Linked DNA regions of Mus musculus. The protein of the gene in region 1 purifies or fractionates together with the protein of each later gene. This does not show direct contact. Links are inferred from orthologs where the notes say so. Each region holds a gene or a part of one and is shown on either strand. Other genes may lie near its edges.

Region 1 (4,249 bases):
TGCTTGCTTGCCTGCTTGCTTTTCGAGCTTTGGTTTCTTTGTGTAGCCCTTGCTGTCCTGGAACTCACTTTGTAGACCAGGCTGGCCTCATAAGGGATTTACCTGCCTCTACCTCCCTAGTGCTTTGGGATTAAAGGCCTGAGCCACTGCCGCCAGAGTTTTAATTCTTTTGTCCTTTATCTTTTAAGCTTGTTTTAAAAATTTAATAGAGCCAGGCATGGTGGAGCATGCCTTTAATCCCAGCATCCGGGAGGCAGAGGCAGGCAGATTTCTGAGTTTGAGGCCAGCTTGGTCTACAGAGTGAGTTCCAGGACAGCCAGGGTTATACAGAGAAACCCTGTCTCAAAGGAAAAAAAAATTAATAGAACTCTACATTATAAAATTATAACTTTTTTCGCTAAAATAAAGCTATCTAATAATACCCAACAAGAGTCGATTTAGTTTTATATCCTAATTTTAAAGAGTGTGGTTACATGGAATAAATTGGTCTTTTCTTTCTTTCTTTCCTTCTTTCTTTCTTTCTTTCTTTCTTTCTTTCTTTCTTTCTTTCTTTCTTTCTTTCTTTCTTCCTTTTCTTTCTTGTTGTTTTGTTTTGAGGCAGGGTTTCTCTGTGTAGCCCTGGCTGTCCTGGAACTCACTCTGTAGACAAGGCTGGCCTCGAAATCCGCCTGCCTCTGCCTCCCAAGTGCTAGGATTAAAGGCGTGCGCCACCACTGCCCGGCTGGTTTATATTTCTATTGGATTTATATTGAAACAATTTTAAGGTCAAGTGTCCAGTGATTGCACTGAGAACCCGTTGCATGTCAGAACTTTGACATAAACTATTTTGCAGGTGTAGTCATCAATGTCGTTCTATGGTAGGAAAAAGAAGCATAATGTAGCCCTTGTGTTCTTTTTAAATTCCTCATATCAAACAGTCTTATAGAGATGAAAATGTTCTATCCAGTAACGATCATCCTGGGTCAAGTTTCTAGTAATTAGAAAATTGTAAAGCACTGCTCCATCACTAACCCGCAATCTTTTTCCAAGACAACTCGACTGTTAACATTTTAAATTTTAATAGCGGGACTCAAATTCTAACACTTAAGAGTAAGGCTCTGCCAACATTCACAGGGAGCATCTAAGAGCCAAGTAGGTTTCTAAACCAAGGTGGACCACAGAAAACACCACCAGACAGAAGGTCCAGCTTCACATACACAAGTTCCCTCGGAGCACAGCTATCCTTGCTCTTGATTGGTCTTCCTGTGTGTCTGTCACACACAGAGGGTGGGGCCTATCCTCAAGCTCTAAGTGAGACGCTCTAGTTTTACGTCATCTCAGTGCGACGAAGTCCGCGAGGGAGGGGTGGGGTGAGCGCTGTTCGCGGTGGTTGGGGGGCTGCTTTGAAGGTGTCATGGCTGCTGCTGCGGAGCTTAGTTCCTCAAGCGGCAGCGAGAGGAGCCTGGAGCAATGCTCCAGCCCCCTCCTCACCCGCGAGGTCCTCTGCGAAGTCTTTCGCTCCTTGCACACCCTGACAAGACAGGTAAGTGGGGGTGCGGCGGGGAAGGGGTGGGTGGGGAGGGAGAGCATCCCGGTCCTTGTCCCCTTAGTTCTCTCGGAGGCGGGGGTCGCGGAGCCCCGCTGGCACGGTGTGTGCCGCTGGTGTGCCGTGGCCGGGCTGTGACACCCGGAAGACCCTGGGCCCAGCTCCTGGGACCGGGAGATGCCAGCGGCACGCTTGATGGCCAAGGTCTGGAGAAAACTGGGGTCCTGGCGACGAAAGCTTGCCCAAAAGATGCCTAAAAGGTGATGAGGGTGAAGGAGGTTCCTGGCGATCACGGTCCTTTTGCCTCCAGTGTATTTATCGCAGAAACTCACTGGTTAATATGGCCTGAAACTTTTCCTAGCGCCATCCCCACTCCTTGGGGGGTGATTTACTCTGGGGTTTTTTGTTTATTTGTTTGTTTTTCTGTTTTTTGTTTCTCTTGCCATTTATTGCATCTCTTACTCTTTTAAACGGGGAGGGATATATAAGGATTTCCACAATTTCATTTGTAGTATACCTAAATTTTAGTGTGAATTGTTGGATGAGTTATGTGTGGCCACTTCTAACTACATTACGACTGTCGTGTAGCTTAGCTAATTGCTCTTTACAGAAAATGTCACAGTAAACCTGGATTTTAAAAACTAGGTTACACTTTACTAGATAGTCGTGATGTAAATGAGGCAATGTTTAAATAAGGAACAAAAGTATGTTTGCCTGCTTTTAGAAGAGTTTTGTGTCAAACATGTTTCCTAATTTGTTTGGGGACTGGTTATAGTGCTTGAAATGGACACAGCACACATTTATGTCAAGGGCAGTGGTACCACCAGTGAGAATAGGACATTTACCTGATTTGTGAGGATTATTTTTAAAATCCTTAGTTGGAAAACCTTAGTAAGTTTATTCTGACTGGCAAACTACTTGAGTTGTACATTCTGTTTGGTGTTACTGGACTTCGAAAAGTTAAAAAAAATTAAACTCAGTTGCTTGATAAGCAATTAGGAAAAAAATTCTTACAAAGTCTTAAGCACTTTCCTTATTAATATTTCAGTAGTAACATCTCAGATCTTTAAATAGTTTAAAAGTTAGAGAACTTTTTGGCGTGGATTTGGAACTTAAAGATTTATTCATTTATATTTCTAATGTCAAGATGAGAAAAATCTTCTCAAATATTATGCTTAGAAATTGCAAAATAATTTACATTGATAAATTATTTGAATTATAAAATATCTAAATTTTGCATACTGAGTTTTTTAATTATATAAATTTATCTCAAAGGTTCAAATGGAAAAATGATTAAACTTAACTTATGCCACTTGCCAAAAATGTGTAGAGAAAATGAAGTTTTTGTAACAGTAAAGGGTCCTTTAACAAGTGTCAAATATAAGATTTTTTAAAAAATTAATTAAATGCTATTTTAGTAATATGTATTTTGAGATGCGTGATTAAGGATGAAAGCCATCCACACTTATAAAGTTGCCCCTGCGGAATGTGTCCTTTCGCAACAAATTAAAGGGACTTTTAAGATGTAAATTGTAATATGTCTAAGTTCACCTTAAATATCATTGAATTATTAGCGCTTTTCGATAGAAAGTGTAAAACTGAATTGTTAAAAAGCATTTTTCCTTCAAATGCAACTAATGTGTTTCTACTGAACATACATGACTGAGTAGTCAGTGTTAATAGTGTGTTAATAGAAAAATTTGAACGCCTGATTACTGTCCCAAGGATTATGGGATAAAAATTCATAGAATCCATATGTTACTGGGGAATTTGCTGAATGAATAATTGGATTATTTGGGGGCCATTTTTAAGTTAATTTGTCACCTTACTGTTTGGTTTCCATAAAAGATCAAGTGTCTCCAGTTGCCTTTGAAAGCTTCCATACTGACATGAGAATATGATCCAAATATTAAGATTTCTTTCCTATAATTATTTTCTCTAGAAAGGGTGATGCTTTGCTTTGGTTTAAGGTTTGCCTGCTTATTCCCCAAACATAAATCTGCCAAGAGCTCTATAGTTGACTGTGGCAAGAATAATGAACTGTAAAAATAAAAAAACAAGACATGAATTGTCCATGGAACCAAAGAGATCTCAGGTTCCTATGTTAAGCACTCTACTGTATAAATAGTGGATACAGAAACCTACTGCCTAAGACCAGGGGCATCTAAGTCCACATTTGGCAAACATAAAGAAATATGAAATTTTACATAGGCTATACTGACATAGGTAAACTTACACTAAGTTAAGATTTGACGATAAGATTACTAAGATAACTGCATTTATTATTGAATATGAAAGTAATCCATCAGCACATGTCTTGGTTTTTTATTCTTACAGCTCTTTAAATTTGTATTTGAGCTCATGAAACATGCATCTTTACTTTGTAGAAAATATGACATAATTTTTAATAAATTATTATTGCAAAATAAGTACAATTGACTTGTTTCCACTTGAATTGTGTCTAGCAAAGTTTATAGTGATTCCCTTATACTCAGTCAAATGTACAGGTGGAAGCTTCTCCCTCTAAAGTTTTGACTGATTTTGATATTAATTTTATATTCTTGGTAGTGTTCTGGATATACTTTTGTTCTAATAAATCACTACCTGGTGAGAAGTTTCCGTGTTATGAGACATATCTTTCTAGAAAACCCTTAGGAAACACACTGGACATTGACTTTTGGCTTCGTTGTACTGCTTTGGGAAAGTACTTGGTTTTTATCTCAA
Region 2 (3,652 bases), on another chromosome or scaffold:
CCATCTTTTATTATTATAAACAGTTTGAGCACAAAGATGTTCTTAAAATGACAAGTTCTGGCAAGTTAAATTAAAAGTGTTAGAGAAATAAGTAATAATGTATTAACTTTAATCTTGGTTTATTTGTGTTCTGGTAAAAACATGCATTTAGTTTTCTAGTTGCAGGTTATAGTTACTAGATTTATATACAGTTAGCTATTTGCTTGTTTTTCATTTCTAGGTTTAATTTAGAAATGTTTTAAATTCAGAAAGAGATGTGTTATTGAACACCTTAGCTTTACAAAGATGAGCAGGTGTGTATTAAAATCCACCTACTCAGTAAAGATTCAAAAGTTAGGTTGCTTTTCTTTGTCCTAGATTTAATTTAGAATTTTAAGATGTCATAATTTGAGCAAGAGATGTAACTGTGGTTGTAGCACATGCATGTTTTGTACAAGGCCCCCAGGTTTGACCCCCAGCACTTTGAGAAAGAGAATGTTGTCATAATGATTATGTGGCAAGGGTGAATAGCCACAACCTTTAGGCTAACGTCACATTTTGTGTGTCTCATCATTTGTTGCATCTGGCACACTCACTGTGCTCGTTCTTAGAGCTGATAGGTGTTTGGTGTGGTGTGTGTGTATAAAGTTGCTGCCGGTACACTCTGCATCGCTGCACACTATATTACTACCACGTCGTATTTAGCACTCTATGAGTAGTATTTACAATGTGCCTATTATAACACATTTTGATTTTACCTATTTTTGAGTTAAATGTACGCTGTCACTCTGATATTTTTATTTTGTTTTGTCTTTTTTGTCCCAGGCTGACATAGGGCTTCCATACCCACAGAGAGTTGTTCAGTTACCTGAGATCATGTGGGACCAGTACACCAATAGCCTTGGGAACTTTGAAAGAGAATTTAAACACCGCAAAAGACATACTAGGAGAGTTAAGTTAGTTTTTGATAAAGGTAAGAACCCACACGATAAGAATTTAATGAGGAAAATGTCTTGTAGTGTCCTAATTGAATAATTGTGTGTATGATTTGATTTTTAGTAGGGTTGCCCGCTAGACCAAAAAGTCCTTTAGATCCTAAGAAGGATGGAGAATCCCTTTCGTACTCCATGTTGCCTTTGAGTGATGGTCCAGAAGGCTCCCATAACCGTCCTCAGGTAGGCAGTGTGAGACACCTGAATAGCATGAAACTGAACGGTGTGCTGATTTCTGTTCTTAAGCTGAAGACTTGTTTACTGACAAACAATGAGAACATGAACTTTCAAGTTAAGAGGAAACCTAAATCTGCCTTCAGACTGGTAGCCACGACTCTTTTGCTGTTGTTTATGCCCAGTTTTCTAGTTGCATGTTCTTATAAGATGTAACTTGTGCTGGTCACATTTTGGGGTTTTATGTATTTTAAGTGGGCCTTGTGGGTGCTGTTCCTAGTCCCAGTGCACTATAAAGTGTGACCAGGATTTCAGATGTGGCCTTGTCTCAGTTGGACTGCTAGTTTTCAATTTGAACCCATGTTTCCTGTGTCTAGAAAGGAGTTACAAGAATATGGAAACAAATTCAGTAAATAGGTGATGTATATATTAAAAATTACGCAAAGATGTTTTGAAAATTCTAAAGGGTGTTCTTTGAGTATACCCTTGTATTTTCCATTTACCTAAAGCCCTTTTTATATGCAGATGATAAGAGGTCGCCTGTGTGACGACAGCAAGCCCGAGACCTTCAACCAGCTGTGGACTGTTGAAGAACAGGTGACACATGCACGCTTCTTGATTCTTTGGGCTAAAAGGAAGTCTAGACTGTCACAGCGTTGTTAGGCAAGCGTTAACTGTTGCATTTCATTCCTTTTGCATTTAATTTCTTTAAATTATGAGTTTAAAATATTTAGAAGTACTTATAAACCTTTTTGTATTATGAATTTTGGGTTTTGAAGACAAATTGTTTGAGAAAAAAACCTGGGTTTGAGAAGGAGGGTAGACATGGATGATACTCTTAAAAGCAGCTGTGAGAAAGAAAAGCCTCAAGACAAGCAAAGCTGTTATCAGTTGCATTTTAATTTCTGTTGTGGGGGAACTGAGAAGCTAGACTGGCATTCTTGGAACATTTCCTGTGTGTTCCCTTCAGCTGAATTGAGGATTGTATAAAAAGCCCAGGAAGTTTGATTTTATGGATTAAATGTTGTGTGTCTCAGGGTTTTAATATTCACTCAGGTGCTTGAATGACAGATCACGCAAAAGAGGAAGAGTCTCTTATTCCAAATCCAGTGAATTTGCATGTTTTCTGTTAAAGCTGAAGGGAGTGTGTTCAATCAAGAAAAGATAGTTGGGAAGCGGTGTTCACTGAGATGTATACAGCTCCACTATATATCTCCTCTGACTTCTTGTGCTATTTTGCCACTGAATTGAATAGAAGCCTTTATAAGGGTTTTTATAGGTGTCTCCTCTAATCTCACTTTGCCTGTGGCACCTTAGCCTCCTACCTGGAACGGTTCCTACCTTGAGAATCTCTAATAACGTGATATGACATCTAGAGTTGGGAAAGCTTTACTGTGTTTTGAATGAAATGTGAGTGTATTTATTCAGAAATCCAGTATTTTAAATGGAATCCTTTATTCCATTAAAATTTGTTCCTGGATTTGGTGCAGAAAAAACTCGAACAGCTACTCCTGAAATACCCTCCCGAAGAAGTAGAATCTCGGCGGTGGCAGAAGATTGCTGATGAACTGGGCAACCGGACAGCCAAACAGGTGATGGGAATGGCTGCGGACTGAATGGTAGATGGTTTCCCACGGACAGTTGATAGCATTGCTAGCTGTAGTGTATCAGTTTTAAACTGATTAGCCCTGCTTACTTTTGTGTCACTAGCTTGAACAGCATAAGTAACACTGCTTAGTGTCAATGTAAAACATTATGCATGTGCGTGTGTGTGTGTGTAATATATACAAATTATATATACACACATGTATTTATGTATGTATTGGACCTTGCCTCTCTTGAGTGTTTAGTGAGTGTGCTGACAATGTCCTTTTTTGTTAGACTGTGCTATTGGATTTTGTGGCATTTCATTAATACCATCCCTGATTGTCTTGTTTTCTTTTCTGTAGTACTGGCAGATAGGGCTTCCTGTGTGCTCCTCGGTGCTCACCAGGAGGAATGATTGCTTAGCTTTGGGATCAAACAAATGGAAATTGACTTGAATTGGTTTTGTCTAGGTTATAACTTATAAATGTCTTTGATGGCAATTTAAAAGTTACTTCTTAATTTAATTGTTAACCACTTAAAGCATCTCAAATATCAGATTATTTCATTATGTTGAAAGAGCCGTCATGTTTCTTTAGGTCGCCAGTCGTGTACAGAAGTACTTCATAAAGCTAACGAAAGCCGGCATACCAGTTCCAGGCAGAACACCTAACTTATATATATACTCCAGAAAGGTAAGCAGTCCACACGGCCAGACCTCAGCGAGGGTCGCTGAGCTCAGAAGTGCTGAGCGCGTGAGTTTGTTAAGCTGTGCTCCCCTTGTGCTTGCCATTTCTCTGTAGGCTGTACATGAACCAGTGGCTCTTTCTGTGTCTGGTGTGCACTGGTCACGAGTGGTGTCTGTATGAGCGGCTGCTATGAGGGTTGTGCCACCACATAGATGTAATCCAATTCCACCACTG
Region 3 (3,652 bases), on another chromosome or scaffold:
AACAAAAAGAATCTTCCTTGATCACTTTCCACATTATTCCCTGAGGCCAAATATTTCAATTGAACCCAAAGCTTACAGAGAAAGGCTGGTCTAGCTAGCCAGCTTTCTGTAGAGATATTGGCCTCCTCCTCCTCCTCCTTCCAAGGGCTGGAATTAGAAGTCGGTCAGCATGACTGCCTGGCTTTTGTGGGTGCTAAGGATCTGACTTTTGAGTCACACATTTGGAAGGCAAGTCATTTTACCATAGCCATCTCCTCAGTGTTTTTATTAAAGCAAAACATTTTACTGGTATTTTTCAAATATATAAAAAGGTACCTAAATATAATATACGAGCATGCATATGAACACCTGTTGTATAATGTGTAGATGGAGGTAAATAATTAGATCAACCAGCATTGAAGGTTTGAAAAACAAACTTGGCCGGGCGTGGTGGTGCACATCTTTAATCCCAGCACTTGGGAGGCAGAAGCAGGCGGATTTCTGAGTTCGAGGTCAGCCTGGTCTACAGAGTGAGTTCCAGGACAGCCAGGGCTACACAGAGAAACCCTGTCTCGAAAAACCAAAAAAAAAAAAAAAAAAAAAAAAGGAAAAAGAAAAACAAACCTTCTTAATTTATATATCAAGCAGACAAAATGTCCTCCAGGCCTGGGTTGCTGGATGCTCAGGGATTATTCTACCCCCAGCATTGGGAAACACAGATTCTTGCTAGGAAGAAATTAGAGATTTAATAACAACAACCAACACATTCTATTTGAGGCGATTAAAACAGTCTTTGACATCTATGATCATAGAAATGTATTACAGTTTTGAATTCACTGTGTAGTCAAGGAAGACCTTGAGCTCCCAATCCTCCAATAAATAACAGAAACCAAGCTCTATGTCAAAAAACAAACAACAAACAACAAACGAACAAACAAATAAACAAACATAAAAACCAAACCCATATGTTTAGGCTTGGAAAGATGGCCCAGTGTTTCAAAGCCCTGGCTGTTCTTGCAGAGGACCCGTGCTTGGTTCCTAGTACCCATGTCAGACAGCTCCCAGTTACCTGGAACTCCAGTTCCAGACAGGATCTGACATCCTCATACAGACATGCATGCAGGCAAAATAGCAATGTATACAACATAAAAGTAAATAAAAAATTAAGACAAAGAAACATGCTTTAATAACTCATATGTCAGGTTGAAAGTCATCTTAGAAAATAAGCAATCTTTAAGATGGATCTGGAATTGGCAGTGGTGGTGATCTCCCTTCTCTTCCACCACCACTTTTTTCCCTCCTGAGACAGCCATTAGTGCTATTAGAAAATTAGTAGGGAGACCAGTGTGAAAATGTACATCTATTATCCCAGCTTTCGGAAGATAGAAGCAGGAGTATTACCACCAGTTTGAAGCTAACCCGAGCCATACACATACACATACACATACACATACACATACACATACACATACACATACACATACACATACACATACACACACACACACACACACACACACATATACACATACATATACACATACACATACACACACACACACATACACATACACACACACACACACATATATATGTGTGTGTGTGTGTCTAATACTAATAGTCTAATACTATATATATATGTATATGTGTATATATGTATATTATATATGTGTGTGTCTGTGTAATATTGATGGTCTAATACTATATATATGTATACACACACACACACCCACACACACCCATATATATAGTATTAGACCATCCAGGGATACATGGCAAGACATTTTCTCACTCCACATCTCCTCCCCAAGTACATTAGATCCATCAGTATGTATTTCCATTTCAAACCATCCATTTTTTTTCTTTTGCCTTTTATTTTGAACATCACAGGAGAAAAGAGGAAAATGAACAACTCTCATGCTCCCGAGGAGGCCAAGAGATCTCGAGTGATGGGGGATATTCCCGTGGAATTGATCAATGAGGTCATGTCTACCATCACAGACCCTGCAGGGATGCTTGGACCAGAGGTCAGCAGGGTGAACAAGGCACCTTCTGGTCTCCCTGCCACACTAGCTGTCACAGATGAGGGTGGGGTGCTGAGAACACACTGCTGGTCACCTGTAACCTAGAGGCCACTATAGGGAGGTCAGGAGTGGCTAACCAAGATGTGGTTCCCTTTGATAAATATCAATTACAGGGGCACAAACTACAGTTTCAAGTAGTTGGGAACGTTTCCATAGTGAAGAATTTCAAGCTTCCACCAGCAATGCAAAAGACAAAACAAAAGAAAACAAAAGAAAACGAAACACCCATGGACTGTGTTGTGCTGAGAAGCGTCAGTGATTACCTCCTTTTTTCCTTTCTTGACCTCCTTTTCCTCTCCTGTGAACCTTTTAGAATCATTGCAGAGTCCGAAACAGATATAATAATACATCACACCTAGTGCATCTGCCTGTGTCTCATAGGAAAGCAATTCTCTTATATAATCACGTGAGTTAGCACTCAGGAAATTTAACTTCATTATAAGGTTCTCTGGTTTAGGGTTGGCAGACTGTAGCCTACCAGTCATGTCTGCTGCTCAGCTTGTGGGCTAAGGAATTGGGTGTCAGCTTCTTACTCGCTAGGAGTGAAGGTGTCCAGCGTCGTAGGCTGGAAATCGCTTTTCTGGGCTGTGTTAATTGCTAACCATTGCGCATAGCAGGAAAATGGAATCACTGAGGCTTGGAATGTGTGTCTTGCAAAAAAAAAAAAAAAAGTTCATCTCTTGACTTTTCAGTGGAAAGTTTGCTGACTTATGGCCTAATTTTCAACCTCTAGGTCCAGTGACCATCTGACCAATTTATGCTATTCATAATATGCGTTATTGTTGGAGGCTCAGTTAAGAACCAAGCATAGAATTCAGTATTCATTTCTTCATCTTTTTATCTTCCTTCTCTCTGTCTCTGTCTCTCTCCTTCCTCCCTCCCTGCCTGCCTCCCTGCCTCCTTCCTTCCTTCCTTCCTTCCTTCCTTCCTTCCTTCCTTCCTTCCTTTCCTTCTCTCTCTCTCTCTCTCTCTCTTTCTTTCTTTCTTTTTTTTTTCCTGGACTGGTCTCATGTAGTCTAGGCTGATCTTGGACTATCTATATAGCCAGGATTAATGACCTTGAACCACCTTGCTAGGTTCATGTGGTGGTGGGGATCAAGTCAAGGGCTTGTTATATGCCATATTCCATACCTCCGAGCCATATCCCCGGCTCCTTAGTCTCCTTTAAAGCCATTCTCCAGGCCTTTTCTCTTCTCTTACAATGCTGTCTTTGTTGAGGAACTTTGTTAGCAAATTATGCATAATATCTCAGTGTGGATCTGTGTAATAGTTTAGGTCAATGCAGGTAAAACATTTTGGTTGAAAGTCTGCTCTCATCTTATTGTAAGACATCCAGGAACAGGGAGGCTCAAGACGTTTCCAGGAAATGAACACATGACTTGGGTAGTAGTGTATAAACAACTTCTATCTTTTTGGTGTGGCTTTGCTAGATTAAATCAGTAAGTTTCATACTGCTCTGTTTTTGTGACTCTTTTATTAATGTCAAAGATCATTTGGAGGATTGAGTGTTGCAACAGAACCATCTCATAAAATTCATTCCTTCTGGACTGACTATCCAGTCTGTGGGGACCTAAAGCTGACCTTCTGTG

The links.
Region 2: the proteins of Mbip (region 1) and Zzz3 purify together in Homo sapiens (affinity purification with mass spectrometry; 4 studies listed by BioGRID and IntAct, counting the BioPlex papers as one, with this or other methods). This does not show direct contact. The link is inferred for Mus musculus from reciprocal best matches to the Homo sapiens genes MBIP and ZZZ3.
Region 3: the proteins of Mbip (region 1) and Kat2b purify together in Homo sapiens (affinity purification with mass spectrometry; 4 studies listed by BioGRID and IntAct, counting the BioPlex papers as one, with this or other methods). This does not show direct contact. The link is inferred for Mus musculus from reciprocal best matches to the Homo sapiens genes MBIP and KAT2B.

What each region holds. Positions count from the first base shown.
Region 1 is NC_000078.6:56,342,945-56,347,193, reverse strand, and holds the start of Mbip (MAP3K12-binding inhibitory protein 1), read left to right. Parts: upstream 1-1,299; 5' UTR 1,300-1,393; coding exon 1,394-1,522; intron 1,523-4,249. UniProt on the Homo sapiens protein: Inhibits the MAP3K12 activity to induce the activation of the JNK/SAPK pathway. Component of the ATAC complex, a complex with histone acetyltransferase activity on histones H3 and H4.
Region 2 is NC_000069.6:152,447,975-152,451,626, forward strand, and holds part of Zzz3 (ZZ-type zinc finger-containing protein 3), read left to right. Parts: intron 1-804; coding exon 805-952; intron 953-1,038; coding exon 1,039-1,154; intron 1,155-1,670; coding exon 1,671-1,742; coding exon of another isoform or gene 1,743-1,808; intron 1,809-2,635; coding exon 2,636-2,737; intron 2,738-3,328; coding exon 3,329-3,424; intron 3,425-3,652.
Region 3 is NC_000083.6:53,646,878-53,650,529, forward strand, and holds part of Kat2b (histone acetyltransferase KAT2B), read left to right. Parts: intron 1-1,869; coding exon 1,870-2,006; intron 2,007-3,652. UniProt on the Homo sapiens protein: Functions as a histone acetyltransferase (HAT) to promote transcriptional activation. Has significant histone acetyltransferase activity with core histones (H3 and H4), and also with nucleosome core particles.